Notamacropus eugenii: one gene and its partners. The main gene of each other region encodes a partner of the protein of the gene in region 2 in a complex. Links are inferred from orthologs where the notes say so. Each region holds a gene or a part of one and is shown on either strand. Other genes may lie near its edges.

Region 1 (7,543 bases), on a different chromosome or scaffold from region 2:
GCTATAATAGCATTGATGCAAGGAAATCCATTGAAGGAGAGAATTTCAGAATGTGAAACAAACTTCGAAAGTTGTGCTTTTCAAAGTTGGCTTACTCTCATTTTCCCCCTTTCCTTATTAGGGGTTTCTCTGCAGAGGCTCAAATGACCAGGTCCATGGTCATTATCTTTAAGTGGAATGATGAACCCAAACTTCAAGAAAAAGTAAAAGTCCATTATAGAAAGGAACTTCTCCAAACTATTACCAAGTCTTATCATTTCTTCTTATGCAATGCTTTTCTTTTATGTCCCCTTTTCTCCACTCTTACAGGCACCACTCTGATGTAGATCTTCATTACCTCCCACCTGTGCTGTAGCAATTGCCTTCTGGCTGGTCTCCCTGGCTCCAGTCTCTCCCCACTCTAGTTCATCCTACACTCATTTGCTGAAGTGATTTACATAACGTGCAGAATAGATCATATTACCACAGACCTCCCCACTCTCCAGCACCCTCCACGCATACGCACACTCAAGAAATTCCAGAAGCTTACCCCCTACTTTCATGATCAAATATAAACTCTGCTGTTTGGCTTTAAAATCCTTCACAATCAAGTTCTTTCCTAGTCTTCCAATCTTCTTACACTTTACTGGCCTCTACAGAATCTATGATCCAGTGACACTAGCCTGACTATTTCATCTTCTAATTATATGCTTTCAACATTGTACCCCATCCCCAAAATGCCATCTCCTCTTCACTTCCAGCTCCATATTGTCTCCCTTAGAATGTGAGCTCCCTGAAGGCATGGGTTTTTGTATATCCAGCATCAGCGCAGTGCCTGGCACATAGTTTTTAACATATGCTTACTGACTATGTGGACTGTGACTTCTGGAGATCCCTAAATATAATGTGTCTAAGACCACAGCTGAACTGAGGCCTTCCTGACTGAGCCTAGCACTCTATCCATTGCATCACCTAAGTCTAAGCTATTAAAGTCACACAGGCATTAAGAGGCCGAGGCAAGACTGAACCCAGGTGCTCCAGCTAAATAAACAAGTGCTCTTCACATTGTTCCATGCTGCCTTTACCTGCATCACGGACGGACGCCACTACTAGAAGCTTACAGACAGGAAAAATGTCACCAGCACCAGCAACCTCTACTACTACTACAACAGACTACTAGCATCTGTGAGAACCCAAAGGGAGGCTGCTGGTCCTATTCCTGCTGAGTTGTGATCCTAACAGCATGATTATGTTGCACACTCCCTTTGGTAAAATGCAAGGGGAGCTCTGTACTTGAAATTTGGTGACAGTGGCAATCTTCTCCAGTATACTTCCTATAATCACAGAATGTTGTTTTTCTTTGGGGAGTAGGGGGTTTTTTCTTCTACATCAGTAGACTCATGAAATTCAACACTTTTTGGCACTGTGAAAGACACCAAGATGAATATTGAAGTCCTTGCCCTCAAACTGCCTCTAGTAACGGTTCCTAACTATTCTGATTGGAAATCTATGAAAACAGAATTTGAAGGCAATGTGGTAAGGAAACGAAGACACAGAGAGCACTGACCCAAAAGTCTTAATGAAGATTTAGAATCTTTTTTTTTTTTTTCCTTTTCCAGATTTATTTTCTGTTCTAAAGTATGGCATTCAACAAATTGTAAAAGTTCTTTCTCAATGCTATTCAATGTATATTTTTGAAAAAAAATCATATGTAAAAAATAAGTACAGAATAAATCAAACACACTAGCTGCAGAACTTTCCTGATATTTTTCCTTCTTGTGTGAAGATTTAGAATCTTAATGCAGATTTAAGCTATGAAAGATTAAAAACTTTAAGTTACTGAAGCTTAAAACTGAACTAAGATTTTTGGAATATCCTGAATATGACTCAAAGACTACTTCCAAAAAGCTTACAATCTATTAGTCCTGGCTCATACAACAGACCAGTGGTTCTCAAAGTGTGGGTCTAGGACATAAGAGTCTCCAAAACCAATTAAAAAAAACTAAGTTTATTAACCTATGAGGTTAAAACTATTTTCATAATAATACTGATGTTTTAGTTTCTGATATGCCAAACATAGATATAACCCACATGAATAAAAGCTCTTAGGGAAGGGTCCTCAGTATTTTTTAAGACTATAAAGAGGTTCCGAGACTAAAAAGTTTCAGAATCCCTGCTACAGGCCATTTGAGGGCAAAAACTGTTATCTTCATTTTTATATCTTTCACAGTGGTTCATTATAAATAAGCAGCATTCAAATGTGCAGACTCAACTGAATGAATTTGCTGAATGCTAAGGCCTCACATAGGATAGCTCTAGATTTGTGGGTTTTTTCCTTTTTATCTTAATCTAATTCACCACTTCCACCCTAATTCCTAGCCAGAAGGAACCTTAACAGATTCCTAAGTCAATCCTCCCACCTGTCCTAAGGAGCACAGCGAATTTGCTTCTTCACAGCACAGTTTTCAGGTGTCTAAATGACAAAAATCACAGAATTTGAAAGTTAGAAGAAGCTACAGAATACACTTAGTCCAACCCAGACCTAGACAGAAATCCTCTCTACAATATCCTCAATAAGTGGTTTATCGAAGAATTATCATGAAAGAGAATCCACTATTTCCCTACACAAGCCAATGGGGTAACTAATTTTGAGAGGTTTTCCTTACATCAAAACTTACATCAGTATTATCATTTTTCAAATGGAAGCTTTGAGATGTGCCTGGTAGGGTTTTTATTCAATCAACATTGATACATGTTTTGTCAAATGATTAACATAAAGTCAGGAATAGCAGTAATTAACTTAAAGAGGATGATTAAAGTGAAGGCTTCCTACTTCATGAAATTATTTGGGAGCACAATCAGTACTAAATAGATTATAAATTTATACATTATAATACACAAATGTGAATTTATGTATTACAATATGAATGCAAATTCATTACGAATATATGAATATAAATTGATATTAAATATAGGATTTAAAAAATATGTAAGGGCAGCTAGGTGGAAAGACTCATCTTCAGGGATTCAAATGTGGCCTCAGATACTTAACTAGCTGACCCCGGGGAAGTCACTTAACACTATTTGCCTCCGTTTCCTCATTTGCTAAATGAGCTGAAAAGAAGGAAATAGCAAACCACTTCAGTACAGTTGCCAAGAAAACCCCCAATGGAGTCAGAAATGATAAAGATAACATATTAAACAGAGGACTTTTAAATACATAATTCACACAAGATCACAAAGGAAGCCATTTACACTGAAACAGTTACCCAAACCTATGTTTCCAAGGTTCGGGAAGCCCTGCCTGGGTCAGCACTAACCAGGTGGTGCCGCAGCCTGGGCTGAGCCCCGACCCCGGACGAGTGATTTCATCTGTCGGCTTCGGTTTCCTCGCATGTAAACAGAGATAATAATAACACCACCGGGGAGTGACTCGGCGGGTCTAGACCGAAGGAGGGAAAGGGGGCCAGCCGAGACAAAGCCTCAAGTTACACTCCAGCAGGTTCGCCGCAATAGCGCGACCCCGTGCCTTGGCTGCCTCTGGACCCGGGGACATGGGCACGGCACCCCGGGTAACCCTGAGTCCCCAAGGGCGAGGACTCCGAGGAAAGGGGCGGCTGCACCGCCCGGGGAGGGCCCTCGAGGGGTCTGGCAGTGACCTTGCGCCTCATCCCGCGGCTGAGAGCACCGCGGCTGCGGGCCGGGCCCGTCACCCGGGCGGTGGGCAGGAGACCACGAAGAGCGGTCCGAAAGGGCAGGCCCACGGCCGCGATCACCGCCACAGGCAGCATTTGAACCCAGGTCATTTCTAGACCTAATTTCGCGGCTCCAGGAGGCTCCAGTGGCTCAGGCCGAGCAGCCCGGCCTCGGGGGCCCTTCCCGGCAGGCCTCGCGGCGGGGGGGAGGGGGCGCAACTTGGAGGCCTCCTGAGCGCGTTACCTGCTGGAGGTGCAGCTGGGCCACGAGCGCCCGCGGCAAGTGGAGGAAGCAGTCCCGGGCGTGAGAGAAGGCGATGGTGACGGCCACGACCCCTCCAGCCCCGGCGCCCTCGAGACGGCCACCGCCCCACATCGCGAGCGAGCGAGTGAGCCAGAGAGCCAGAGACTGACGGGGCAGAGCACCGATCCGCGCCAGGCAGGAGGCGTCGAGCGCCGAGAGGATCGATCGACAACCACCACCCCCGGCAGCCTACTCGCCCTAGCGTCGCGAGGGGCGGGACTACCGAGCCTCGTTACCGCGCCGCCACAAGACGGCGCCTTCTCGCTTTCTCCATCCCCTCCGGAAGCGTCAACGAGCGCCATCCGTACTCGAGCCAATCCTAGGACGTCGCTGCCTGCCTGACTCTCTGATTGGATGAGAGGGATAGGGGTCAGGCGGAAGCGGTTAACTTGGAAGGAAGGCCTAGTGGGAAAGGATGGCGGACGGCGGAGGGGAGCTGGGTGGCTATTACCCTCACCATGCGCAGCGGGCTGTTTGTGACTCGCGGGCCAAGTATCGGGAGGGGCGGAGGCCCCGCGCCGTTAAGGTGAGAGAGAAACCCCCGGGCACCCCGGCTTCCTCTGGCCAGGAGCGCCCGGTGAGGCTTAGGTAGTGGCTAGATGGGCGGACCGCGGAGCTGCTGTGTTCGGCTACGGTGCCCGGGCCGTGGAAGAGGGACGAGTCCGGTCGGGCCGCAGTCGCCGGCCGGGATTCGAGCTCAGAGAGATCAAGCCCCGCCGAACCTCCCTAAGTTGGTAGGGTCAGTTGACTGGACGGTTCTGTCATCAGCGCAGCCTGGAGAGGGGAGGGCAGGCGACAGCGCTGTCATTCCCGTTTTGTGGATGAGGAGACCGAGTCCCGCGGCTACAAGTGTCTGAGTCTGGATTCAGAACCGGCTCTGCCCCCATCCCGCTCCTTCCCTCCCTGCGTCCTTGTCCGCTCCCTCACACACACACCGTACACACACACACACACCACACACACACCACACACACACACCGTACACACACACACACCGTACACACACACACACCGTACACACACACACACCGTACACACACACACACCGTACACACACACACACACCGTACACACACACACCACACACACACACACACACACACCGTACACACACACACACCGTACACACACACACCGTACACACACACACACCGTACACACACACACACCGTACACACACACACACACCGTACACACACACACCACACACACACACACACACACACCGTACACACACACACACACACACACACACCGTACACACACGCACACCACACACACACACCGTACACACACACACACACACACCGTACACACACACCACACACACACACACACCATACACACACACACCATACACACACACACACACACCATACACACACACACCATACACACACACACCATACACACACCATACACACACACCACACACACACACACCATACACACACACCATACACACACATCACACACACACACCACACACACACACCATACACACACCACACACACCAAATACACACACACCACACACACACCATACACACACACACACCATACACACACACACCATACACACACACACACCATACACACACACACCATACACACACACACACACACCCCGTACACACACACACACCATATACACACACACACACCCCGTACACACACACACCACACACACACACACACACACACACCATACACACACACACCATACACACACACACACACACCGTACACACACACCATACACACACACACACCATACACACACACACACACACACACACCATACACACACACACCATACACACACCATACACACACACCACACACACACACACCATACACACACACCATACACACACATCACACACACACACCACACACACACACCATACACACACCACACACACCAAATACACACACACCACACACACCAAATACACACACACCACACACACCATACACACACACACACCATACACACACACACCATACACACACACACCATACACACACACACACACCCCGTACACACACACACCATACACACACACACACACCATACACACACACACCATACACACACACACCATACACACACACACACACACACCATACACACACACACACCATACACACACACACACCATACACACACACACACCATACACACACGCACACACCATACACACACGCACACACCATACACACACACACCATACACACACACCACACACACACACACCATACACACACACCATACACACACATCACACACACACACCACACACACACCATACACACACCACACACACCAAATACACACACACCACACACACACCGTACACACACACATACCACACACACACACCACACACACACACACACACACACCATCCAATCCACCCTCTCCAGGAAGGCATCCCCACTATAACACACCCACCCACCTGGGGTCATTTAACTTTTGTCCTGAAGACCCCCATCCACCTGGGCAAGCCGCTCTACTTGTTAGGAAGCATCAAACCTACTTTTGCAGCTCCCACCCATTGATTCTGCTTTTTCTCCCTTAGGCCAAACAGAACAAATATAATCCTTTTACATGACAGCTCTTTAAATACTTTCACACAGTTGTCCAGCCACAGTCACTAAACATTTACACAAAGCCTACTGCTGTGTGCCAGGTACTTTGCTAAGTTAGGGGATGTTTTCAGGGACTTCACAATCTAATGGCAGTGACAACATACAAACAAATGTGTACAAACAAACCTACAGGATAAATTGGAGATATCTCAGAGGGAGGACTAGAATTAAGGATGGAGAAAGGCTTCCTGTAGGAGGTGAAATTTTAGCTGCGACTTGAAGTTAGGAAGCACAGATGAGAAGAGAGCATTATTAGTCTTTTTCTTCACAGCAACACTTTTCAGATGCTCAGATCCTCTCCCTGCTTTCTAAACAGTCCAGGTCAGTCTGCTCAAGGAGATGTGTGAAGAACAGGTGTATAAAGATAAGCAGGGCTCTGGGGAGAAACTTCCCCTTCTACTATGCCAAAAGATCCATAGTCCATTAGTATGTTGAAAATCTCAGATTACTAGAAACAAAGTAGAGCTGTCATCGATTGGGGAATAGGCAGACAAATTGTGCTGCACAAATGGACTGTTACTATGCTGCAAAACGTGAATGACTACAGAGAGGAATGGGAAGATGTGAACGGAGGTAGAGTGAAGCAAGCAGGACCAGGAAGGCATATCAATGGACTGCAACACTAATTAATGGAAAGTACATCCCTTAAACTAAATATTGCAAAATTATAATGACCAAACTTAACCCCAAAGAAGAGAGAACATACCATTCTTTGTAGAGGTCAGTGTGGAACAGTACGTATAGTGCCCTACTTTTTCAAATGGTGGTTAATTTTGCCAAACTCTTTTTATTCTGTATTATTTGGGATTGCTCCCAAGGAAGAAAAAGAAGGGATACATGGGAAATTGTAGGTGTTATACAAGCAAAATATATCAACAAAATTTTACTTTAAAGAAAAACCTACAGCTTG
Region 2 (7,830 bases):
GAGCTGTTGTGATGAAAATACTTTGTAAACTTTAAAGGATTTTAAAAATGTAAATTGTTGTGTCTATCTCATGGGACTCCTTTATTTCCCTTATAGGTCCCCCTCCCCCAGGAATGCGCCCACCAAGACCTTAGGATTCCTCAACTGCTGTGATGCTGCCTCTGAGATGAGGCTGTATATAGTTTTGTGGGCTTTTTGTATAAAGTGTGCTCCTTTTAAATTGATTCATAATAAACTCTTGGGCAAAAAAACCTGCAGTTATTGTTGGGTATTTTCTGTGCCTGTTGGAAGCATTGGGAGGGAGTGCAGAATTTAAACCCCTTAAGACCACCCTGGCTGTTACGTGGGCTGTCCTAGAGGAAGTAGTTCTTACATCTGAGTTACCTTTGTTCCTTTTTTATTCATCTGGATGACTTCAGATGCTTCCCTCCATTGTGATAACCATGGATTCAGTTCCCTGCTTTTCCCTATTAGTTTTTTATAGCTTTATCCTTGACTCTTTTAAGTCAGAAGTTCTTCTAAGCCTTCATTTTCTTTTTCTCCTATTTTCTCAAATTTGCTTATTCTTTAGCAGTTAACCAAAATAAATGAGAATGCTGAATATTCCTTAACTTAAAAAGTCATTATCTTATTCATTGTATTTGGGAGTTTTTAGTTTTCTCATGGAGAAAAAAAATTAGTCATAGCTCAACTTCATATATTGTCCACCTGCTACTTCTATAACACAATCCTGGATAATGGAATTCGGTGTATGTTGTCTTTAATTTCTTCTGCATGGGGAAGGAGTAATCATCAAGAAAATCTTCAATCATCATGTGAAAAACCTCGAAAGTTCATGCTTTGCCCTCAAGGTTCAGTTATTATCTGCTCAATCCATTTCATTATCTGATCTAAATTATTCTCTAGTTCTCCTGGTACATTGCTAGGCAGCCAGTGTACTACTTCATGGTTGTGGGAGGCCATGGCTTCTTCATAAAGAATTTGGAAAATTTTACTAAATATTGTCCTGTTATTTCTTTTTTTAAAATTTTCAGTTTACAACATTCAGTTCCACAAGCTTTTGAGTTTTAAATTTTCTCCCCTATCCTTGCCTCCTCCCTTCCTAAGACAGCATGCAGTGTGATATAGGCTCTCATATACATGCATGTTAAATATGTTTTCACATTAGTCATGTTTTAAAGAAGAATTCTAACCAGCAGAATGAACCATGAGAAAGAAGAAGCAAAACAAAAAAGAGAGCAAACAGCATGCTTTGATCTGCGTTCAGACTCTATAGTTCTTTCTCTGGATGTGGATGGCATTCTCTGTCCTGAGCCTTTTGGGGTTGTCTTGGAACCTTGCTGAGAAGAGCTGTCTGTCGAAGTTAGTCACTGCACAATGTGGCTGGAACTGTGCATTATATTCTGGTTCTGCCCCCCTCGTCATCCGTTCATATGAGTCCAGGTGTTTCTGAAGTCTGCCTGCTCAGCATTTCTTACAACACAATAGTATTCCATTACATTTATATGCCGCAACTTGTCCTGTAGTTTCTTTACACTGTATCCCCTCTTTTCAAGTCTTGTATAAAATACAGAATTATCTGTTTGAAGCACAAAAACTATTATGAAACCATGATTGAGGGAAGAAGTCACAGCCATGGTAATCAATAACTCCACCTTCTTTCATTTTGTTTTCTAACTCAACTACTCTGTCTTCATCCAAAGTGGGACATACATATTTTTCATCAAAGCCATTATATAACTGTCCTTGTGCTAAATTGCCCATATGAACGAACAAAGGGATAGTGAGGAGAGAAAAGGAGGAATTCAAACAGTGTGAATGGAGACCACTGAGGAGACCTGATTGAATGGGATGTTAAAGAAAGTCTCAGGAATAGCTTTTGTGAAGAAAAGAAAGCTCTTTGTGCTGTAGTTGAAGTACCTTTATTTTTAAAGGGCAGACTCAAATAATTCCTATCACTCTGGTGGCTCTTGATAACATTACAATAGGGGAAGTTTATCTTTGACAATCTCCTCTTTACTTTTCTTCTCAGATACCCAATACCCTTGAAGCCCTTCCGCTCACCTTTGCAGTGTTTCCTAGGTGATGTTTCATATCCATTCCTCTTTTAACTCTCATTTACCATTTTTACCTCTCACCAGTGGCTTGTTCTCATCTGTTAGGGAGGAAAACTAAATGGTAGAATCAGGATATTTGAATTTGAAGAGACTTTTAGACTATAGAACATACAAAGTCAGAGCTGGAAAAAACTTAAAAGGTAAAGTGCTTTGACCAGGCTTGCTTCCTAATAAGTTCCAGAACTAGTATATAGGAGCCCAAGTTTTCTCTTCCATTTCTTGACTCATCATTTTCAACAACTGTTTAAGACCCTATTATCTGCATAGCCCTGTAAGGCTCTGGAAGAGATCTTTGAAGTCATCTAATGTAATCTAATTATAGATGAGGAAACTGAAGGTCCCAGATCACATAGAGGGTTAGTTGTAGTGCTGAGAGTAGATGCCAAGTCTCATTTCTAGACCAGTACTTAGCAATAGTTACTGACCTAACTCTAGAACTAGCTGTTAGGTTAGAGTTGATATAAAATGAGAATTGGGCTTGCTGATCCCTAAAGTCCCTTTTAGCTAACAGTCTTTTATTTTAAGTTGTATTTATTACCATTAGATCGTAAACTCTAGGACAAGGCCTTGTCTTAATTATCTTTTTATCTCCATCCATAACCTGACAAACTATGCAAAGGATAGCTGCTTAACAAATAATTGTTAATTGAATTAGCAAGTTAATGAAGTAGGATGAATGAAAAAGTGTTGGGGAGACCAATGAGGCATTCATTATCTGCTTTCTAGGAGCTCATATTCTAAAGGAGGAGATGACATATAGGGAAGGTTGTAGGTAATTGTCCTTTGTTTTTGAGGAGGACCAAAATGACCTCACTGTGTTGAGGTCAAGGTACAGTGTGTCTGACAGTGACTGATCAGACCAATTTGAGCTCGGAAGGCTCAACCACAGATCTGGCACAAATGGTGCATTTGAACATTTGGAATGGAGATGTCTCTGGATTTATGCATCTCATGTTTTCTTTATGCTACTGAGATTCTGCTTTTCTTATAGAGAGACAGTGCCTTCTTTGATGCAGGCACTTCATGCTAGGCAGTCCTGTACCTGTATCTCTTCTTTCTCACAATTGATACCAAAGTTTAGATCAAAGGCCCAAGGTCCCCCAGTGCATCCTGGGTCATCTCCAGTCATCCTGATGAATATCTGTCACTGGATTCAGATGGCTCTGGAGGAGAAGTGAGGCTGGTGACCTGCACAGCCCTCCCTCATTCAAAACAAAGTCAAGTGCAAGTCATGTCATCATTTCTCTGATGGCATGGTCATCTTTGGCAACAAAGGACAAACAAACAAAAACCAAAGTTTTTCAGAGGGACCTTGAGAGTGTCCTTGTTCCTCCTGACCTCCATGTAAGAGCTTGCTTTATGTGAGTTCTCCATAAAATAGTCTCTTAAGAAAAAGACCTATTTGTACAAAAATATTTATAGCAGCTCTCTTAGTGGTGGCTAAGACCTGGAAATCAAAGGGATGGATGCCCATCAATTGGGGAATGGCTTAACAAGCTGTGGTATGTGATTGTAGTGGAATATTATTGTGCTATAAGAAAGGACAAGCAGGATAATTTTAGAGAAACCTAAATGAAGTGATGCACAGCAAAGTGAAGTAAAGAATCAGGAGCCGGTGATACCCGATAACAGCAACGCTGTGCCATGAAGAATTGTGAACGATTCAGCCATTCTCAGCAATACAGGGATCCAAGACAATTCCGAAGAGTGAAACAGTGTCCACCTCCAGAGAAGGAACTGATAGTGATTGAATACAGACTTGAGCAGGCTATTTTTTCACTTTCATTTTTTTCCTTTTATTTGAGTCTTCTTGTACAAAATGATTAATATGGATATGTTTTACATAATTGCATATATATGACCTTAATCTGAGTGCTTACTGTTTCAGGGAATGGGGAGGAGAAAGGAGGAGGGATAGAATTTGTAAAAAAAAAAAAAAAAAGTCAAAACTTTAAAATTTTTTTAAAAATAGAAAAAATAGTCCTTTAGGTCAACGTCCTTTTGGCATTTGAACAGGCCAGACCACTGGCAGCTCCACAAGGGTGGCTTCCTGGGGGGCCGGGCTGGGTAGAGTGGGGGGCAGGCTGTCAATCCTGAGGCGCACTGGGGTCTTGGGCGGTGCTCGGACTTGCTCTGAGCATGGCCCCGGCTTCGGGCGGGCTGGTTTTGTCCTCCGTTCGTGGCAGACGGCGGGCACGTCCGGCCCCTCTCCCACAGCGTGGCGGTTGTGGAAGCTGGCCGCAGGAAGCTGCCAAGGCCCTCCGGGTGTCTGAGCTGCACACGTGGGGGGGTGACCACCCTGGGCAGCCGGACCTGGCGTCAGAGCGACTCCGGCTCTGGTTCGTTTTCCCGCTGCGTGACCCTGGGCCAGTCGCTCAGCTTCGCTGGACTCAGTTTCCCCAGCCTCCCGGAGCTGCCTGTGTGTACAATGACAGGCATGTCGCAAACTAAAGCGCTACGTAAGTGCCGGTTCGTGATGATGATTAGAACTGATGGTCACTAGTTACATGATTCTGGGCCAGTCCTCACCTATCTGAGCTTCAGTTTATAAGTCGTAAAGGGCGCACAATAACATCGGCGCTTGTTGAGTGCGTTTCATAAACAGCGGAGTGCTTCATTCATTCGAGCTGTTCTAACTAGTGTGCCGGGGAAAACTATAGGGACGGAACATGAAGAACACGGGCCTCGTAAGCCGGGAGGCGGAGCCGGAAGTTCACCCAGCCGGAAGTTCCCCTAGCCGGACCGTTTTTGCCAAGGGCTCATTTCCGGCCGCGGGCGCGGGAACTGGAGTTTTCGTCGGTTTGTAGGCCCGGCGGAGGCGAATCCGACGCGAACCGGGGCCATCTCAGCCGCCACCATGGTGAGGGAGGGCCGGGCAGCCATCTGGGGTGGTCCTGGGAATGGCCCCGAGTGGGGGGCGCAGCCAGTCGACCGCCGAGTCAGGGGGCTGGGGCCCAGGTTTGGGGAGGAGGGCGCGGGAGGCCGGGATTCTGAGGGGGGGGAGGGGAGAGAACGCGAGGCCCGGATTGGGAGGGGGGAGGGGAGGGCTTGCGAAGCTGGGGTTCTGAGGAGGGGGAGGGTAGAGAACGCGAGGCCCGGATTGGGAGGGGGAGAGGAGGGCTTGGGAAGCTGGGGTTCTGAGGAGGGGGAGGGGAGAGAGCACGAGGCCCGGATTGGGAGGGGGGAGGGGAGAGCATTCGAGGCTGGGGTTCTGAGGAGGGGGTTCAGAAGGAAGGCCGGGTTCGGGGCGGGGTGTGTGATTGTGTGTCACGGTTCTGAGTGCCATTCATAGTTGGCACTGAGAGCGGAGTGGTGGCAGGGCCAGGATGGGGACCTTGGGAAAGATGGCTGGGGGAGTGCTGGGAGACGGAGGGATTAAGGTGGGAGGTCCTGGAACCTGGGAAAGGTTAAAGGTGGGGAGGTTTTTAGGACTCACTGGGAGGTGGGCTGGAGGACTAGATGGGGTCTGGAGGGGGATGGGTTGGAAGAGGAATTAGAGCCAAGGGGGCCTGAGGGTTAAGAATGGGGAGTGTAAGGGGTGGGGTTTGTCAGAATTAAACCTTTTTACCATTTACTGCATCTCTGTCGTTTTACACCCGAGAAAAATCCTGGCCCCCAATTTTGGACCTACTGTCCCTTAGCTTCTAGGCCTCACTAACTCAACCTTAAGGTCAAATACAGCGAGTGAGACCTGATTCAGAATAGGAGCCCAGATCTTCTGACTCTAAATCAGTTCTTTTCCCGTAACACTATTTGAATCCTACTTTCCCAGTGTAATTACATTCTGTTATATCCATCTTATCCTCTCTCATGCATTTAAAATAATATTTGTTGAGTGGGCACTATATACCAATTAGTGTGCTGAATGTTGCTAACGTATCCCTCAGGTAGCCGAGATATTGGGTTTGTCAGTCAGATGATTTGGGTTTCAGTTCTAGTTCCATCACCAACTTACTGTGTTATCTTGGACAAGTCTCTTAACCTATTCAACTGAGCCTCAGTTTCCTTTTCTGTAAAATGGAGGTAGATATCTTTGCACTGGTTACGTCTTTATACTCTTGGGAAGGTCAGATGAGATAACTGGATTATGTATGAAAACAACACAAGCATCCAGTCCTCTATTTTTGGTCTGGAGGGAAGGAGAATGAAGAAATCCATTGTTAAAAAATGGAGGTGATAGAAGGCTGTTTCAGGAATCAGAATGTTGTCTGGGGGAATCTTAGAACAAAGAATGCAAGAACTATAAAGAACATTATAGCTAATTTCATGTAAACCACTTTACTGAGCAGGAATCTGAGGTTTGGAGTGGGGAAGTGATTTATCCAAGGTCAGGTCTAGAACCTAGGTCCCCTGACTCCAACCTTGTTTGCTTCCCTTTATGCTAGTCTTCCTCTGGGAGTGTAACTGAGAGAGAAGTAGAGTCAAGGAGGCATTCCGATTTTAGTATCTTAGCCACTTTTTTCTTGCTTCCCACAGACGGTGGGCAAGAGCAGCAAGATGCTGCAGCACATCGACTACAGGATGAGGTGCATCCTGCAGGATGGTCGCATTTTCATCGGCACCTTCAAGGCCTTTGACAAGCACATGAACCTGATCCTGTGTGACTGTGATGAGTTCAGGAAAATCAAGTGAGGAGGAGCCCTGGTGGGAGGGGAGCAACCCAGTTCACCCAGCAGAATATTGTGGGGAGGGACCCAAGTAGCAGGTGGTATAGTTTAGCTGTCCCCTGTCTGGCTGTGGCCTAGATGTGTTTCTTGTGTCTGTGTGGTTGTGTCCTTTTTTTGAAGAAAATCCAGCTGAGTTTCCCCAGTGCCCTCTGAATGCTGCCTTCCCCAGGAGTTCAGTTGTGCTTGGAACCCCTTGGCTTGAGAGCTGTGTTTCTGTTTTTCTTTGTTTGCCCCCTTGGGGTAAAGGGCTCTCGTGTTCTCCCCACAGGTTTTTAAGGGGGAGAACTTGCTTTTCTGTCCTCATTGCCTCTCTGTAAGGCTGCAGCCTAAACGGCATTCCCACCCAATACAGCCTGCTCTGAAGCAGCTTTCAGGAGCCCCTGACTCTCTTCAGGGTAAGTGCCTGGCTTCACCACTTGGGTTAGTGTTTGGGGCTAGTGATTTAGAATAAGAGTTGGAAGAGACTTTCAGCATCATTTACTGCGACCCCTTATTTTATAGAAGAGAAAACTGCAATCCAACAGTGCTAAGTGACTCGCCCAAAATCTTAGAGTAGTAGCAGAGCAGATATTCAAACCCCAATTCTGTGACTCCTGCATCCAATGTTTTTCCCATTATACCAGGCTCCCTTCTGATTTGTCATCTGCAAAAAAAGAAGTAGTGAGAGACAATGGCTAAATGCTGCCCCTTGTGTTTTCAAGTTATTCACTATGCCAGTTTTTCAGTAAGAATCTTGTGTCTTAAAGCTAGAAGGACTTCAAGATGATCTGGTTTAGGTACTGCCTACCCTAAGACAGCTAAGTTATTTCCATTATACAGATCAGGCAACCCAGAGAGGATAAATGCCTTACCTATGGCCATTAGTTTGTTAAATGGTAGTGGTTGGGTGGGAATGACTAGAACCCAGGTCTCTTGCTTCCAAGAGTAGAGCTCCCATTTTCCTTCCTTCATTCAACCTATTAATGACCTTTTGTTTCTTTTAGGTCTGTGTTTTTTTGTGTGTGTCTGGCTTGAGTGGAGAGAATCTAGGATGAGGACTTAGGTCC
Region 3 (8,003 bases), on a different chromosome or scaffold from region 2:
CCTTTCCAATTCACTTTACTTGTATCTCAATTGTCCTTGACCATCCTAGAAGGATTTTGGTGATTACTTTTCCATTTCCAAATCTCACAATCCTGTGACACTGGAACAATACTCTTAGAATAGCAAGGCCTTTGTTGGACTAGTTAGGTGAATTTGAATTTCTGTTTATTTTTAATCTAGCCCTGGATTTTTCACTTCCATCCAGGGAGGTTGAGTAGTTTATCACTCAATAAATTCATGCTTAAAGGAAATGATGTGTGATATTTAGGGGGTCTAAGTGGGATACCTGGTTGTCATGAGAAAAATTGCTATGAATGTATGTTCTGTGCCTGATTGCTGAGGGTGGTTAAATAAGGTCACAGGACTAATGAAGCCAAAATTTAAATCCAATTTTTTTAGTTTTCATCCTTCTTGACCTCTCTGCAGTTTTTACTGCTTGTTATTGACTACCTACTTCTAAATATTTCTGTGACTTTCCTGTTTCCCTTCTCTGACCATTCCTTCTGTCTCCTTTGGTGGATTATCCTCCATTTTATGCTCTCTAATCAAAGTTTCCCAAGACTGTCCTAGGCCTCCTTTTCTCTTTTCTCTCTGCATGTACTCTTTTGGAGATTTCATTTGCTTCTACGAATTTACTTATTATTTCTAAACTGATAATTCCCAGTCTGTAAACCCAGTCCAAATCTTTTGCTAGAACTCCACTCTGCCAACACCTTGTGGAATCTATATATCCAAATATGCCCCCAGCATCTCGCATATTCAGTGTGTTCAAAAAAGAATTCATCCCTTACCACCAGCTACTCCCCAACTCAAGTGTCCTCTAAACTTTCCTGTTTCAGTTGAACTGCTGTATAATACTTCTAGCCTCTCAGGCTGGAAACCCTGCAGTCATTCTAGAGTCTTCACTCTTCCTTACTCTCCATATCTAATTAAGTTACCAAGTCATGTCCACTCTATTTCTGGAATTCACATTCTCATACTTACATACTCTCCTACAGCTACAACCTTAGTTCAAGTCCTTATCACCTCTCACCTGTGTTGTTGTAACAGCCTCTTAAGTAGTCTTCTTAATTTCGGTCCCTTCTGTCTTACAATAATTAAAAAAAAAAAAAAAAGCAAAAATCTGGTTGTGACACTCCCCTTCTCAGAAACCTTCAGTGATACTCTATTGCCTTGAGGATAAAATGCAAACTGCTTCATTTAAGATTCCCTACAAGCTGACTCCATTCTAGCTTCCCAGCCCTTATTTCACATTAGTTCCCCTCTGTTATTGCAAAATTGGATTACTAACTTGCTCTCCAAACTTGACATATCATCTTCTACCTCCAAGCATTCAAATAAAGTATACTCAATGACTAAAATATGCGCCCTTTTCAATTTTGTTTTTTGACTCTTTTCCTTCCTTAAGACTCAGTAACAGTGGGGAGTTGTACCTCTTGGTTTGCTCCATGTCCAGTGGCAATAACATTTATTCAGCACCCAATATGGACCCAACACCGTGCTAAATAATGGGAATATTAAGAAAGGCATCATAAAAACAAAAATCCAGACACCTCCCTCTGCTAGCTTATATTTTAATGGGGGAGACAACATACAAACAACTGTGTACGAGATAAATTTGTTATATTATCAGAGGAGAGGCACTAGCATTAAGGGAGCCAAAGTTCTGTAGAAGGTGGGATTTAGCTGGGACTCAAACAAAGCCAAAATGAGACTAGAGGCATACTAGCAATAGGGATTCTCTTGTTCAAGGAAGAGCAAGGAGGTCAGTGTCACTAGATTGAATAGTAAGAAGAGATAAGGAAGGTGTAAGAAGACTGGAAAAATAGGATGGAGGCCAGGTAATGAAGGACTTTGAGAATCAAAGGTGATAGGTGGAGGTGATAGGGAGCCACTGAAGTTTCTTGGATGGGAATGGGGTAGAAGCATAACAGGGTCAGGCCTGTTGTTCAGAAAGATCAATTTGACAAATGAATGGAGTAGGGAGAGACAAGTCAGGAAGACCATCCAGCAGGCTATCATAATAATCCAGGTATGAACTGAAAAGGATCTGGCCTAGAATGGTGGCAAGGTAAAAGAAGAAGGGGGCATATACAAGTGAGGTTATAAAGATAAAATTGACAGGACCTGTCAACAAATTGGATATGGAGGTTGAGAGAATGAGGAATCAAGGATGATACCTAAGTCGTGAGTCTGGCTAACTGGGAAGGTGATGGCGTCCTCACCAGTAAAACAGAATGAGGAAGAGTGGAGGACTTGAGGGCAAGGGAAGGAAGATAATGAATTTCATTTTGAACATGATTTTGAGTTTAAGATGTCTACTGGACATCTATTTTGAGATGTCCAATAGACAGTTGAAGATGAGAAACTGGAGCTCAGGATAAATGGATAAATAGATCTAGGAATCATCAGCATTGAGATGATAATTGCATTCACAGGAGCTGATGTGATCACCAATATTATATTATCCTTTGTTTTTGAAGAGTTCTAATTTCATCATGGGATGATGATTGACTTTCTCATGGATTTAGGAAGCAAAGTTGCACAACCAAAATAAATAGAGGAAAAACAGGCTTCAGCACACAATTTTGGGGGTTTCACATCAAGTACCTACTATGTGCCAGGCACTGTACTAAATCCAAGAATTAAAAATATGTTGTTCCTACTTCTAAGAGCATACATTTTAATGGGGGGGGGGAGCAAATCTATATATAAATATGACAAAACCAAAGTTAATAAATACAAATACATGCAAACAAGTTAAATACAAGAAAGTTTGGGGAGAGAGGACCTTAGCAATTGGGGTACCAGTAGTAGAAGATTATGCTTTTGTTATGGCTTTTTAACTTGGTCTTTATCAGAGGAGAAGCTGTGGGCCCACAAGTTGCTGATAGACTCAGAACTGCTCACTGGGACTAGGAAGAGTATATCATTTATTTGAAGAGAGGAATTTCTATAGAGAACCACTGGCAGTTGGTCACAAATGGGGAAACTGAAGACAGTTCGGTTCAATCTGTCTTTATTACAGTACATGCAAAAAAAAAAACCCAAAAAGCCTGAGTCCCACTAATAAAATGACTATCAGTATATTATGTGCTTGGCTAAATATGTGTGACATGGAAAGTACAACTATAAATGGGTCTTAGTGTACATATGTCTGTGACATATGAAAGCTTGAGAAGGCAAAGACTAAGAAGAGCTAAGGACATGTAGAACAGTCCTACAATACTGTCCCAGCATACTGATTATGAAGTGTGGGGGCTGGAGAAGGAAGAATTATTGGCTAGTTTAAAGGTTTAAATATAGGGTCATGTTGGTTGGGGACCAATAAAGACAGAATATTAGTACAACAACCACTTTTCTCCTATAGGACTCATAGATATCCCAGCTGTCCTGTGAAATCAATTCCATGTGTTTCTGATAAAGGCCTCATTTCTCAAATATATAGAAAACTGAGTCAAATTTATAAAAGCACAAGTCATTTCCCAGTTGCTAAATTGTCAAAGGATATGAACAGGCAGTTTTCAAAGGAATAAATTAAAGCTATCTATAGACATATAAAAAAATGCTCTAAATCACTATTAATTAGAGAAATGCAAATTAAAACAATTCTGAGGTACCACTTCACACCTATCAGATTAGTTAATATGACAGAAAAGGAAAATGATACATGTTGGACAAGATGTGTCCAACAAAATTGTTGCATTGTTGGTGAAGTTGTGAACTGATCCAACCATCCTAGAGAGCAATTCAAACTATACCCAAAGGGCAATCAAATTCTGCATACCCTTTGATCCAGTAATACGACTTATATGGCTGTATCTCAAAGAGATCTTTAAAAATGGAAAAGGAGTTCCATGTATGAAAATATTTATAGCAGCTTTTTTGTGATGGCAAAGAATTGGAAATTGAGGGGATGCTCATCAATTGGGGAATGGCTGAACAAGTTGTGGTATATGAATGTAATGGAATACTATTGTGCTATAGGAAATGATGAGCAGGATGATTTCAAAAAAATCTGGAAAGACCTATATGAACAAATGCTGAGTGAAGTGAGCAGAACCAGGAGAACATTGTAATAGCAACACTGTAAGATGATCAGCTATGATTGATTTAGCTCTTTTCAGCAATAACAATAATCCAAGATATTTCCAAAAGACTTGTGATGGAAAATGCTAACCACATCCAGAGAAGGGCCTATGGAGTCACAGATCAAAGCATACTATTTTCACTTCGTTTTTTATTTTTTCTTTCCCATGGTTTTCCCCTTTTGTTGATTCTTCTTTTACAACATGACTAATATGGAAATACGCTTAACATGATCGTACATGTATAACCTATATCAGATTGCTTGCTTTCTTGGGGAAAGGGGAGAGACAGGAAGGAGGGGAAAACACTTGGAACTCAAAATCTTATAAAATGTTGAAAACTACATATAGTTGAAAAAAGTACTATTAAGAAAGAAAAAATATTTGTTATATGAAATGACCCTCTAAGAAAAAGAGAAGAAGGTATACTGGGGGAAATTATTGTGATTTTTTTTTTTAAAAAAAAGGACATCGTTTAAAAAAATAAATTTGACGTTTATTTTGAGTTGTCCAGTTGACGGTGGAGATGAGAAACTGGAGGTCAGGAAAGAGGTTAGGGCTGGATAAGTAGGTCTAAGAATCATCAGCATAAAGATGATAATTGAATCCACAGGAACTGATGTGATCAATAAGGTAAATAGTATGGAGGGACAAGAAGCTCCAAGACAGAACCTTGGCGATTATTTTTTTAAACACGAATTATTACAGGAAGGTCACCCAGTTGTGGTGGAAAGATCCCAGAATGTATCTTAGTAAATGATTTTCTTCCCATATCACTCGCTACATAGTAATTTTGTCTCGCGTCGTTCTATCTCCACTGCACAGGACAATCCTTGAATATGTCATTAACCAAGTTGACCTCAGCCACCCCAACCCCCGAGCCCAAAACAACGCCTGCGCAGTGAGACTCTGGAACTGGGTAGCAGGCTATAAGCTCCGGCCAGCCTCCAAGTCTCAACCCTAAGGTTCCGAGCTTTTCCCCTTCTCAGGCTGCAGCTGGGGGAGCTGAGGCTGGTGTCTCTTCCTAACCCGCTCGCGCCTTCCGCCCGCCGCCGCACGTGCGCACCCACCCGCCCCCCGCGCCCGCGCGCGCCGGCCTTGGGCTCGGACTCGGGTGGCAAAGATCGGCGGCCCACACTCCCCCGCAACCCCAGCTAAGCCGCCCCACCTCCTCTCCCGGACCCGAGCCGCGGTGCGAGGACCATGGTAGGGGCTGTGACGTCATAGGCGGGGGTACCGCTTCCCGAAGAGACCGTTGACTCGGTTCGGAGGCGCGGGGACGGGAGGGTAGGGGGGAGGGACTCCCCCTTCCCCGGAAACTGGGAAGGGTGCGGGGTCGGGCGGTTCGGAGAGCCCAGGATTCGAGCCCCAGCCCTCGCCCCCTCCCCCCCTCGGGCGAACCTCGGGCGCTTCGCCTCCCCCCTCTCCGGGCCTCAGTTTATGCCTCGTTTAGAATTAAAGGGTTAACCCTTTCTGCTCTTTCAAAGCTCCCTTGGGACCTGAATTGTGGATGTTGAAGTGATAGCGAACGTGTACAGATAGTGCTTTCCGTCGGTTAACCAATTTGGTGGGTGCCAGTGAGGAAAATGAGGCACAGACTTGATGGTCACACAGCTGGCAGAATTTGAACTCGGTTCTTCCTGACTCCGAGTCTGCCCTTCTGTCCACATGGGCCACCTAACTCATCCCCGGCGCTTTAGGTACCCCTCTCCTCAACAAGTAACAGTACAGGATGTCCCAAAGTTTTAGTCCGAAATAGCAATGAGACTTTGGGGACATTGTGTAATGGACAATTGAGAAATCTGCAGCCCATTATTGCCATTAAATGGTGGTGGTCCTTGAGTCTTAAGGAGAGGGTAATACTCCTGATTGGGGAGGAGGTGGAGAGAGGACAAAGGATGATGTACTGGAAAGGAACTGTTAGAACCACAGGATATAGAATTCTGCAGCTGGAACGGACCTTAGAGATTTTTATCTTACAGGTGTGGTCATTGGGGTTGATTTGGCCAAGTTAACAGAGCTAGTAACTGGCTTGTATTAAGTGCTTACGATGTGCCAGGTACTGTGCTAATCACAGATGAAAATGTAAGCAAAAAGCTTGCTTTTTAATCATGGAACTACACGTGAAAGGAGGACTGAAGGAGAGAGGATGGAGGAAAGCAAACAGCATCGTGCTCCAGAAAATGTGGGATGACCATCTGGGCTCTTCCCCCAAATGGCCGTTTTGAAAAGAATTCATCAATAAAAGGAATAGAAAATGGGTGATCAGTGCACCTCTGCCCCATTTCATGATTTTTTCCCCCCTTTTCCTTTCTCTCAGCTCTTCTACTCCTTCTTCAAGTCACTTGTGGGAAAGGATGTGGTTGTGGAACTCAAGAATGACTTGAGGTAATGTGCACAGGAGCAACCGAGGAGTCTTCCTGCAGAGCTGAGGAAGGCAACTTTGCTGAATTTCCACAGAGGTCTTTTGAAAAAAGGCTTCTTAATTAATGTTGTGTAACTTACACTCTGCAATAGGCACTGGGTGCAGCATACAAGAGTACATGACATATTTCTGCTTTTAAGCTTTACGGTCAGAATGGGAATATAAGTCTTGCAAAGGGGAGAAATTCAAGAATACAGTACCAAACAATATGTTACCAGATACTAGATGATGTGGTATATTAAATATGTTTTAAAGGAATTCAGGGAAGAGAAAGGTCAATATATTAGCTGGACCTTGAGAGACGGATAGAACTTGGATAGGCATGGAGATCATAGAATTGAGATAGAAATGGACAAGAGATTTCCAGGTGAAACACTGAGCAGAGGGCTAATGAGCACAGTGTTTTCAGGAGACAGCCAGTCAGGTCTGACTGGTGAAGAGTTTAAACTTGATTAGGCACTCATTGCTTCTTGCCTGAACTATTTCAGTAGCATTCTAATTAATCTCTCTGTCTCAGGTCTCTTATCACTCCAATCCATCTTCCCACACAACTACCAAAGTGATTTGCTTAAAGTATAGGTCTGACCATGTCATACCCCTCCTTCCCCAAACTCCAAAGGCTTCCTGTTAACTCCAGAATCCTGTATAAAGTCCTTTGTTTGACATTTAAAATTCTTTACCACCTAGCCTCTTCCTACACATTGTGAATTTTACAAGTTAACCATTCTAGTCTGCTTCTTGACTTTTCCCAAGTCACTCCCCACTCCAATCCATCCTTCACACAGCTACCAAAAATTATATTCCTGAAGTGCAGGTCTAATCATATAATTCTGTGGTACCCCCTGCCACTTCCCCCTAATTAACTCCAGTGGCTTTCTGTTATCTGCAGGATCATGTATAAAATTCTTTCTTTAGCATTTAAAGCTCTTTGTAACCTGGTCCCTTCCTACCTCTCTAGTCTTCCTAAATATTATCTCTTTCCAACAACTCTACGGTCTAGCCATTCTGACCTACTGGATCTTCTTCACTCCAGAATCTCCTCTCTGGGTGCCTTTGTACTGGCAGTCCAGCATTCCCTGAATGTTCTCATGTCCAGTTCTGGCTTCCTTCAGGAGCTCAAGCACATCCCATCTTTGGAGGAGGCCTTTCCTGATCCTTCCCAACTGCCAGAGCCTTCCCCTCTAAGAGTACCTTCCATATACTTTGTATCTTCCATATACTTGTGTATTTCCACATTGTCTCCCTTACTAGAATGTAAGCTTCTTAAGAATAAATAGGGGCTGTTTTTATCTCTAGCACTTAGCATGCTGCCTAGCACATTGTAAGCATTTAATATACATGTTTGCTGATGGATTGGTCATATGGATGAGAATTCATTGACTTGACATTTTTGCTATTGAGGACAAATTTTAGTAGCATGGAATCCAGAGTTGTAGAGTAAGGCTTATATAAAGGACAAAGTGAGTCCTAGGCAAAACTGTAAAGAGGGT
Region 4 (7,403 bases), about 250 Mb from region 2:
ATCTCCCCTTGCCCCCCATGACAGCCCCAAGGTAGGGCAGGTCACCACTTGATTGGACCAGCTGGTGACTGCTGTCCCCAAGAAGCCTGGGAGGGACAAGTACAGGGATGGGGGAATATGGGTGACTGTCATTAATCCAATGAGTGGCGTTGCACCAGACCCTCCCTTTTCCTCTCTGGGCCTCAGTATCCTCCTGTGTAACAACAGTGGCAGAATTTATGTAGCACTGTAAGGTTTGCAATGCAATCCATACATATTCTCTCACCTTGCAAAAGCCCTGTTCCATACTTATGATATCCTCTTTTGACAGATGAAGAAACTAAGGCCCAGAGGTATTGATATAGTCAATAATTGTTAGAGCAAATGCCAGGCTTTGATTTAAAACCAGGTCCTGGCTTATGGTTGAGAAAATAGTTTCTTCACCGGTCAATAAGGAAGCTGCCTGGTAGGGAAGAATGCACCGGTTTTGAGGTCAGAGGTCTTGGGTTCAAATCATGCTCATGAGTTGTGTGGCCTTGGACAAGTCACCCTTCTTTGGCCTGCTTTCTTATTTATATGTAAAATAAGCAGGCTTTCTAGTAGATCTGAGGTCTTTTCCATTTCTAGATCTAGGATCCTATTAAATTATGGTAATAATAATAAACATTAATAGCCCTTTTGAAGTGCACCATTATCTCATTTTATCCTCACAACAACTCTGGGAGGTAAGAGCTGTTTTTATCCCATTTTACAGATGAGCAAACTAAGGCTAAGTGACTTGCTCAGGGTCACACACCTGGTAAGTGTGGAAGGCAGGATTCAAATTCCAGTCTTCCTGCCTCAGAAATCCGATGGTCTCATCCCATCATTTTACAGATGAAGAAACTGAGACCCGAAGACATTCAGTAACCTATTCAATCAAGGTCATGGAACTAGTAAATGACAGACAGAATTGGAAGCCAGGTCTTCCTGATGCCAGGTCCAATTTCCCAGCTTCTCACTCCCCAGTTGTGAAACCCTGTGAATAACTGAACCTTTTGCACCATCTGGAAAAGGAGGGGGCTGAACGTCATGGCGTCTTCCACATGTGGTGCTCAGGGCTCCCACTACCTACAGCAATTCCCCCTCCCTCTTTTTTGTAGGGTCACCCAGTTATTAAGTGACACCAGCAAGCCCTGGAGCCCAGGTCTTCCTGACTGTAGCCCAATGTTCTATCGGCTTCGAGGCCCCCAAAGATGCCAGGACCTGCCCAGCCACACACAGCTAGTTAGAGGCTCCTGGGGCGTAGACCCCTCTCGCTAACTCTCTCACCCCGGCTCCCAGTGGAGGACCCAGGCCGGCTCAGCCTTGCCTCGCCTCGCCGTCTGGGTAAGTACACCTGCTGGTCTGGCTTTCGGGGCCTCGTAGGGCCCGGGGTGAGTCGCCTCCGAACCTTCTCCTTGGCTGCCTGCTTCATCTTCTTGTCGTAATTATCTCTGCGGGTGGGACGGAGAGGGATTATGGGGAGAGGTCAGGGATCAGAGCGACCCCAATGAAGGAGGCCTCTGGGGAGGGGGTGGGGGGTTAGGGGTTAGGAGAAGGAGAGGCAGAGACTAGAGGGCTGGATCTAGGAGTAGGGGATGGGGAAGGGGCCTGAGGGCAGAGACTAGGAAGGGGTGCGGGGTTCCAGGGGAGAAGGCGAGGGACAAGGGACAGGAACCCAGGGGCTGGAAACCTGGAAGGGACCGGGGGAGAGGGGTCTAGAGTAGGACAGAAGGCAGGGACCTAGGCTTTTAAAGGTTTGGGGCAGAGGGAGGGGGTGGGGGAGGGACCAGGGGGCTTAAGTGGGGGGAACAGGGTTAGGGACCCGGAGGTAGCTGGAAGGTGGGTAGGGGGCAGGAGGAACTGGGTCAGGAGGACAGAGGGCGGGGACCCCGGTGGAGGGGGCGGGGAACGGGCCAAAAGGCTCAGACTAGTTCAGAAGGCAGGGGCCCTGGGTACAGGGGCTGGGGGGGAGGGAGGATCTGGGGCTGGGAACCGGGGGCAGCGAAGGGCGGGTGGGGGCGCGGGGAGAGCCCGAGGCAGGGTCCGGGCCCTGGCCGGGCCGCACCGGGCGATCTGGTTCCGCCGGATGTGGTGCACAAAGCCGTGGCTCATGTCCAGTCGCCCCCCCGGTTTGCAGCAGCAGCGCCGGCCCGGACCCGGCTCCGCTTCCATTGGGGCGCTCCGGGAGCTCCGGGGGGGGGAAAAAGCCAACGCCGCCCCCGCCGCCAGAGCAACCGTCACTCGCGGAGGCCTTCCCCTCCCCCGGCCCCCTGCCCGCCCGCCAGCTCCCCGACTGGCCCCGCCCCTCTCCGTCCCCATTGGCCGCTTTTCTCCCCACCTCCCCCGCGGTCCCAGGGCTGGCCCCGCCCCCGTGCGAGGCGGGGGCTAGTGCTCTCTTCCTTCGCCAGTCTCTTCTGTTTACTTTGTGTACACTTTGTAAATACTTTGTATTTACCCGCCTCTGTGTGCGTCCCTATTCTCCCCACCTAGTATAAAGGATTGAGGGAATGAAGGAATGTTATTCAGCACTTTCCACTGTGCGAAGCGAGGGAACTGCAGATGGAAGACAGACAGTTTCTGATCGCTAGCAAATCCAAGGAGTCCATCAACGAGAATTCTTCAAGTGCTCTGGGTTTGCCAGACACTCCATTAAAAGTTTGAGATAAGAAAGGCAATAAACGTCCCCTGCCCTCAAGGAGCTCTTGAGGGAGAGACAACGGGCAAACAACTATGTATGTAAGTACAGGATCTTAGGGGTCAGGCAGCTGCAGTATTGCTGACAAGGCCCAATAGAACTGTAAGTTTCTTGAGTCAGATATTGCCCTCTTCCCCCATCACCAGGGTATCCCGAGCTCCTTAACTTGACCTTTGCCCCAACCCCACTTCTGTCCTCAGCACAGACTCCTCTTTGCCAGTCTAGGGCTTGGAGATGGAAGAGAGACAGAATCTCAACATCCATTCTAACTCCCTCAATTCAATTTACCTTAACAAGGCACAACTTAAGAGACAGACACAAAGAAAACAGGCCTGCTTTCAAGGACCTTACCCACTCATTTTATAGGTGAGGAAATTAAGGCCCAGTCAATCAATTAATCAACAAACATCATCCAGTGCCTACTATATGCCAGATCATGCATGTCACCCCTATCCCCTCTCACTAAACTCCAGCAGCTTCCTATTTGCCTCCAGGAGAAAAAATGGTCTATTTGGCATTCACCTCCCCAACATCTACTCTTCCATACAGTGATGATGCCTTTCAGGCTGTTCTATGAACAATCCTCCATCTCAGTTTCCACCATTTGCTCTGACTCTCCCTTATGTATGAAAAACTTTTCCTTTCTCTGCTCTAACCTTCCTGACTTCCTTTAAGTCTCCACTAAAATCTTACATTCTACAGGAAGCTTTTCTTGACTCTTCTTGATTCCAGAGTTTTCCCTCTGTTAATTATTTCCCATTTATCATGTGTATAGCTTGCTTTGTATATATTTTTATGTTGTCTGCTTCAGTAAAAAGCTTGAGGGGAGGGGCTGTCTTTTGTCTCTTTTTATATCCCTAGTGCTTACTTAGCACAGTGCCTGGCACTTAGTAGGCATTTAAGAAATGTTCTTTGAATTGAATCAAATAATTCCTTTGGGGACTACCCAGCTTTGAAATAACTTACTGTCTAAGAGTTGGGAGTGATTTTTTCAACCCAACAAAAGTTATTTCCTATGAGTCCTCATCTCCTTTTATACAATGGTCCAAAGACCCTATGATCTTTTTTAATTGATTAAGGACTATTCATATGGGGACAGTGGATAGAGTACCCAGCCTGAAGTCAGGAAGACTCATCTTCCTGAGTTCAAATCTGGCCTCAAACGCTTACTAGCTGTGTAACCTTTGGTAAATCACTTTATCCTGTTTACCTCAGTTTCCTCATTTGTTAAATGAGCTGGAGAAGGAAATGACAGACTATTCCAGTGTCTTTGCTAAGAAAACTCCAAATGGGGTCACAAAGAGTTAGACATGACTGAAAGATGACTGAACAACCAAAATTCCTATATCTTTTACTTTTGATACGATGAAGCCTTCAGACTGTCCTGTGACTAATTTTGGTGGGGTAGGCTGGACTCCTACCCATATATATTGATCATAGCTCTAGAGATGGAAAAGACCTTGGACCTCTAGTCCAATTTTCCACATGGATAAACTGAGGCCCAGAGAAATGTGAGTGACTTGCTCCTGGTCACACAAACAGTAAATGTCAGAACCAGGATTTTAGTTAAGGGCCAAAGACTCCAAGGTCAAGGCCCAAGTCAATCACAAAGAACTGGATTGTTGTAGACACTCATTCTTTTGGTGGGAACTATGATTTCACTGGTGTAGGGAACTAACTTCTTGACAATCAGTCTTTTTTTTTTTTTTTTTTGGTTTCTGTTTTCATGTCATATGCTTAATTTTCTCATTTTCCAAATGAATACCTTTATTTGTCAATCAGTCTGTTGACTTTTTTTTCCCATACTTAAAGTACTATTTGTCATACGGGATGGCTCTCAGGGAGGGGAGGGGCTGTTAAAATAGTGATGTTAGAAAGAGAAAACATAAATCAAAATTATTTTTAAAAAATTGGGCAATGGGATGTTTTCGCTGCCTCCATCGCAGCCTTTGAGGGACAGGACAGCATCATTCCATTATGCCTCATCAACCTAAGTAAAAATTTCTCCAGTCCTATGATGTTACCCCAGCATCTTGGGCCACTTAAGGGCTATCTGGCCCTTTAAATAAGAAACTGTGGATGATGAAGATGATTGGCCCATTCAGCGTCCGGAGCGGTGGGGCGGGAACCAATGAGAGCATCCAAGAGTCACACACGGAAGCCTGGGAAGCAGGTTTGTAGATGCGGGCCACAGCGCTAGAACCCTCGAACAGACGTTGCAGCGGATTGGCCAGAAGCGCTGCGGCTGATTGGCCAGCTGTGCTGCGCAGGCGCGGCACCGCGAGTGAGACCTCTGCGCCTGCGCGGAGAGGCGGCGGGGGCCGGTGGCCGGAGGGGATGTCTAGCCGTTCGAAAAGGGAGACGCGGAGCTCCGCCCGGGGCAAGCGGGATGCGGAGTCCCGGAGCAGCTCCAGTCGGTCGAAACGGGAGAGGGAGCGGGATTCGGACGGCATGGGGTCTCGGGGGAGCCCGGTGCGCGTGAAACGGGAACGGAACTCGGAGCCCGCGGCGCGAGACTCCTCGGGCGGGAGCGTGCCCGCGCTCGTGCCCGCGCCGCCGCTAGTGGGTTCGCGCGTAAAGCGGGAGCGCGAGGCCGACGAGGACTCGGAGCCGGAGCGGGAGGTGCGAGGTGCGCGGGGCCGGGACCGGGGCGTCCCCCATCCCCATCTCCATCCCCATCTCCATCCCCATCTTGCCAGCCCGGAGCTGGAAAGAGCCTCTGAGGACGGCCATCCTTTCCCCTTTTTTGTCCAGATGGGGAAACTGAGGGCCAGCAAGTGCTTGCTCCCTGCCCGGTTCTCGGGGTGGGGAAACTGCCCTGCCCGGCTACGTCATTACCCGCTAACCACGTGCAATTTAAATCCAGAGGGATGTCAGGGAGGAGAGGAAGGTCCTGGTCAGGTGGCGCAGTCCAAAGGGGCCTCGGATAGTGTCCGCTTGAACGGAACCTTGACCAAAGTTGGGGTGACATCCTGCCCGTCTCAGCGCCGGGGCTTGGGTGCAGCCCACCCTAAGCCTTCCCTGTGTTCTCTGCCTTCAGCCACATATTCCCTCCAGGGTTCTGGCCCCCGTGCCTTCCTGTCTTTGCTAGTGATCGATTTTCGACAGTTTTACTTTTTCCTTACTTGTTTGTGTACATGGGAGAGGAGGAACGCTAGACTTGAAGTCGGGAAGCTCAGGTCCCTCTGATCCTGGCCCTGGGGGACTGTGGGCTAGTCTCTTAATGTAGGCTCTCTTAGAGAACGTATATTAGAGCTAGATGGATGTTGGGAATTTCGACGCCAAAAAAAGTTGTGTCCTGCAGCAAAATGTAAGCTCCCTCTGAGGATAAGGGACTCTTCTATTTTTGTGTGCTCAGCGTTGAATACATTGCATTGTAACTAAAGGCGTGTTAAAAAAAATTACCTTTTCTTTTGTCCTTAAAAACCATCATAGATCATAGGTCAAGCGGGGATCTCAGAGGCCTGTCCAGTTTACTCTCATTTATAGAAGGGGAAACTGAGGATCAGGGAGGTTGAGTGACTTGGAATATGATATACAGGTAGTAAACCTCATAGATAGGACTTGACTCCAGATCTTCTGATTCCAGAACCAGAGTTCTCTCCACTTTTATAGCATTATCTAATGTGATCTTTTTTTACTTTTCACTCTTAGTATTATTATCGTCACTTTAATTCAGCTCAAGCAACAAACATTTATTAAACACTTACTATGTGCCAGGCACAGTATTGTGTTCTGGGGGTCAATGACAGAAATAAAAGTCCTTGCTTTCAGGTAGCGTATATTCTTTTGAGGAGATTTAACATATAAGGAAAAAAAGTGTGTGTAAATCATTTAAAGGTTTGCAGAAAGTAGTGTACAAACGTTAATTTGTTTGACACAACAGTCCCATGACGAAACAATCAGGTGCTATTATTTCATTTTACAGATGAGGAAACTGAGGCTGAGAGGTTAAATGACCTGCCCAGGGTCACTGTTAGGGTCTGAATTAGGATTTGAACTTGGCTCCCAGGCTTGACAGGTCCCTCGTGCCACCTCGCTTCCTAGATTAGATACTCTTAAGGGTGGGGATGGATGAAGAGTACATCTATATAAGAAAGGGTGTGACGAGGGCCAAGGAAGCATTTAGATAGAATGCTATAAGAAATTTGTGGAGAGAAGACCTTCTAGTTGGGAGGATAGGGAAGTCTGTAATAAACAGAGGCCACCAGAGCTGGGCTCGTAAGAACATTTTTTCAACAGGAGAAGGTAATATGTTCTAGTTCGGATGGATCGTAAAGGAAGTAGAATGAAATAAAATTGATCAGGTTAAAGTAAGTTGGAGTAAGATTCTGGACAGCCTTATATTAGAAGCTAAGAATTGGATTTTATCCAATAGGCCCTGAGGAACCAGTAAAAAATTTTGATGGAGGCAGCATATTGTAGCTGGGGCACTGGATTTAGAGTCAGAGAGATCTGAATTCAGATCCTGGTGCAGACATACGAGCTATGTGACCCAGCACAAGTCACTGATGCACTTTGAGGCTTCACTTTCCTTATCTGTAAGATGAAGGGATTGGACCTAATTGCTTCCAAGGGTCCTTCCAGTTCTTACTGTGCCCTGTGGGTGACTTGTGCAGGAGGAAGATGGTTTAGCAGTTCTGTGGAGGATGGATGGTAGAGGTCAGAGGCCTGTGCCCTGGCCCAGTTCAAATGCCATTAGATG

Evidence for each region.
Region 1: SNRPB (region 2) and RBM48 share a complex: the UniProt entries of both Homo sapiens proteins name them as parts of the minor spliceosome. The link is inferred for Notamacropus eugenii from reciprocal best matches to the Homo sapiens genes SNRPB and RBM48.
Region 3: SNRPB (region 2) and LSM2 share a complex: the UniProt entries of both Homo sapiens proteins name them as parts of the U4/U6-U5 tri-snRNP complex. The link is inferred for Notamacropus eugenii from reciprocal best matches to the Homo sapiens genes SNRPB and LSM2.
Region 4: SNRPB (region 2) and USP39 share a complex: the UniProt entries of both Homo sapiens proteins name them as parts of the U4/U6-U5 tri-snRNP complex. The link is inferred for Notamacropus eugenii from reciprocal best matches to the Homo sapiens genes SNRPB and USP39.

The regions. Positions count from the first base shown.
Region 1 is NC_092874.1:47,883,658-47,891,200, reverse strand, and holds the start of RBM48 (RNA-binding protein 48), read left to right. Parts: upstream 1-4,537; 5' UTR 4,538-4,577; coding exon 4,578-4,712; intron 4,713-7,543. Other genes in the region: peroxisomal ATPase PEX1, read right to left, coding at 3,919-4,050. UniProt on the Homo sapiens protein: As a component of the minor spliceosome, involved in the splicing of U12-type introns in pre-mRNAs.
Region 2 is NC_092872.1:476,068,891-476,076,720, forward strand, and holds the start of SNRPB (small nuclear ribonucleoprotein-associated proteins B and B'), read left to right. Parts: upstream 1-4,818; 5' UTR 4,819-4,974; coding exon 4,975-4,977; intron 4,978-6,593; coding exon 6,594-6,745; intron 6,746-7,830. Other genes in the region: small nuclear ribonucleoprotein-associated protein N, read left to right, coding at 97-134. UniProt on the Homo sapiens protein: Plays a role in pre-mRNA splicing as a core component of the spliceosomal U1, U2, U4 and U5 small nuclear ribonucleoproteins (snRNPs), the building blocks of the spliceosome.
Region 3 is NC_092873.1:85,494,371-85,502,373, reverse strand, and holds the start of LSM2 (U6 snRNA-associated Sm-like protein LSm2), read left to right. Parts: upstream 1-4,986; 5' UTR 4,987-5,291; coding exon 5,292-5,294; intron 5,295-6,408; coding exon 6,409-6,476; intron 6,477-8,003. UniProt on the Homo sapiens protein: Plays a role in pre-mRNA splicing as component of the U4/U6-U5 tri-snRNP complex that is involved in spliceosome assembly, and as component of the precatalytic spliceosome (spliceosome B complex).
Region 4 is NC_092872.1:726,461,839-726,469,241, reverse strand, and holds the start of USP39 (ubiquitin carboxyl-terminal hydrolase 39), read left to right. Parts: upstream 1-4,397; 5' UTR 4,398-4,879; coding exon 4,880-5,327; intron 5,328-7,403. Other genes in the region: C1H2orf68 (UPF0561 protein C2orf68 homolog), read right to left, coding at 1,291-1,454, 2,069-2,175.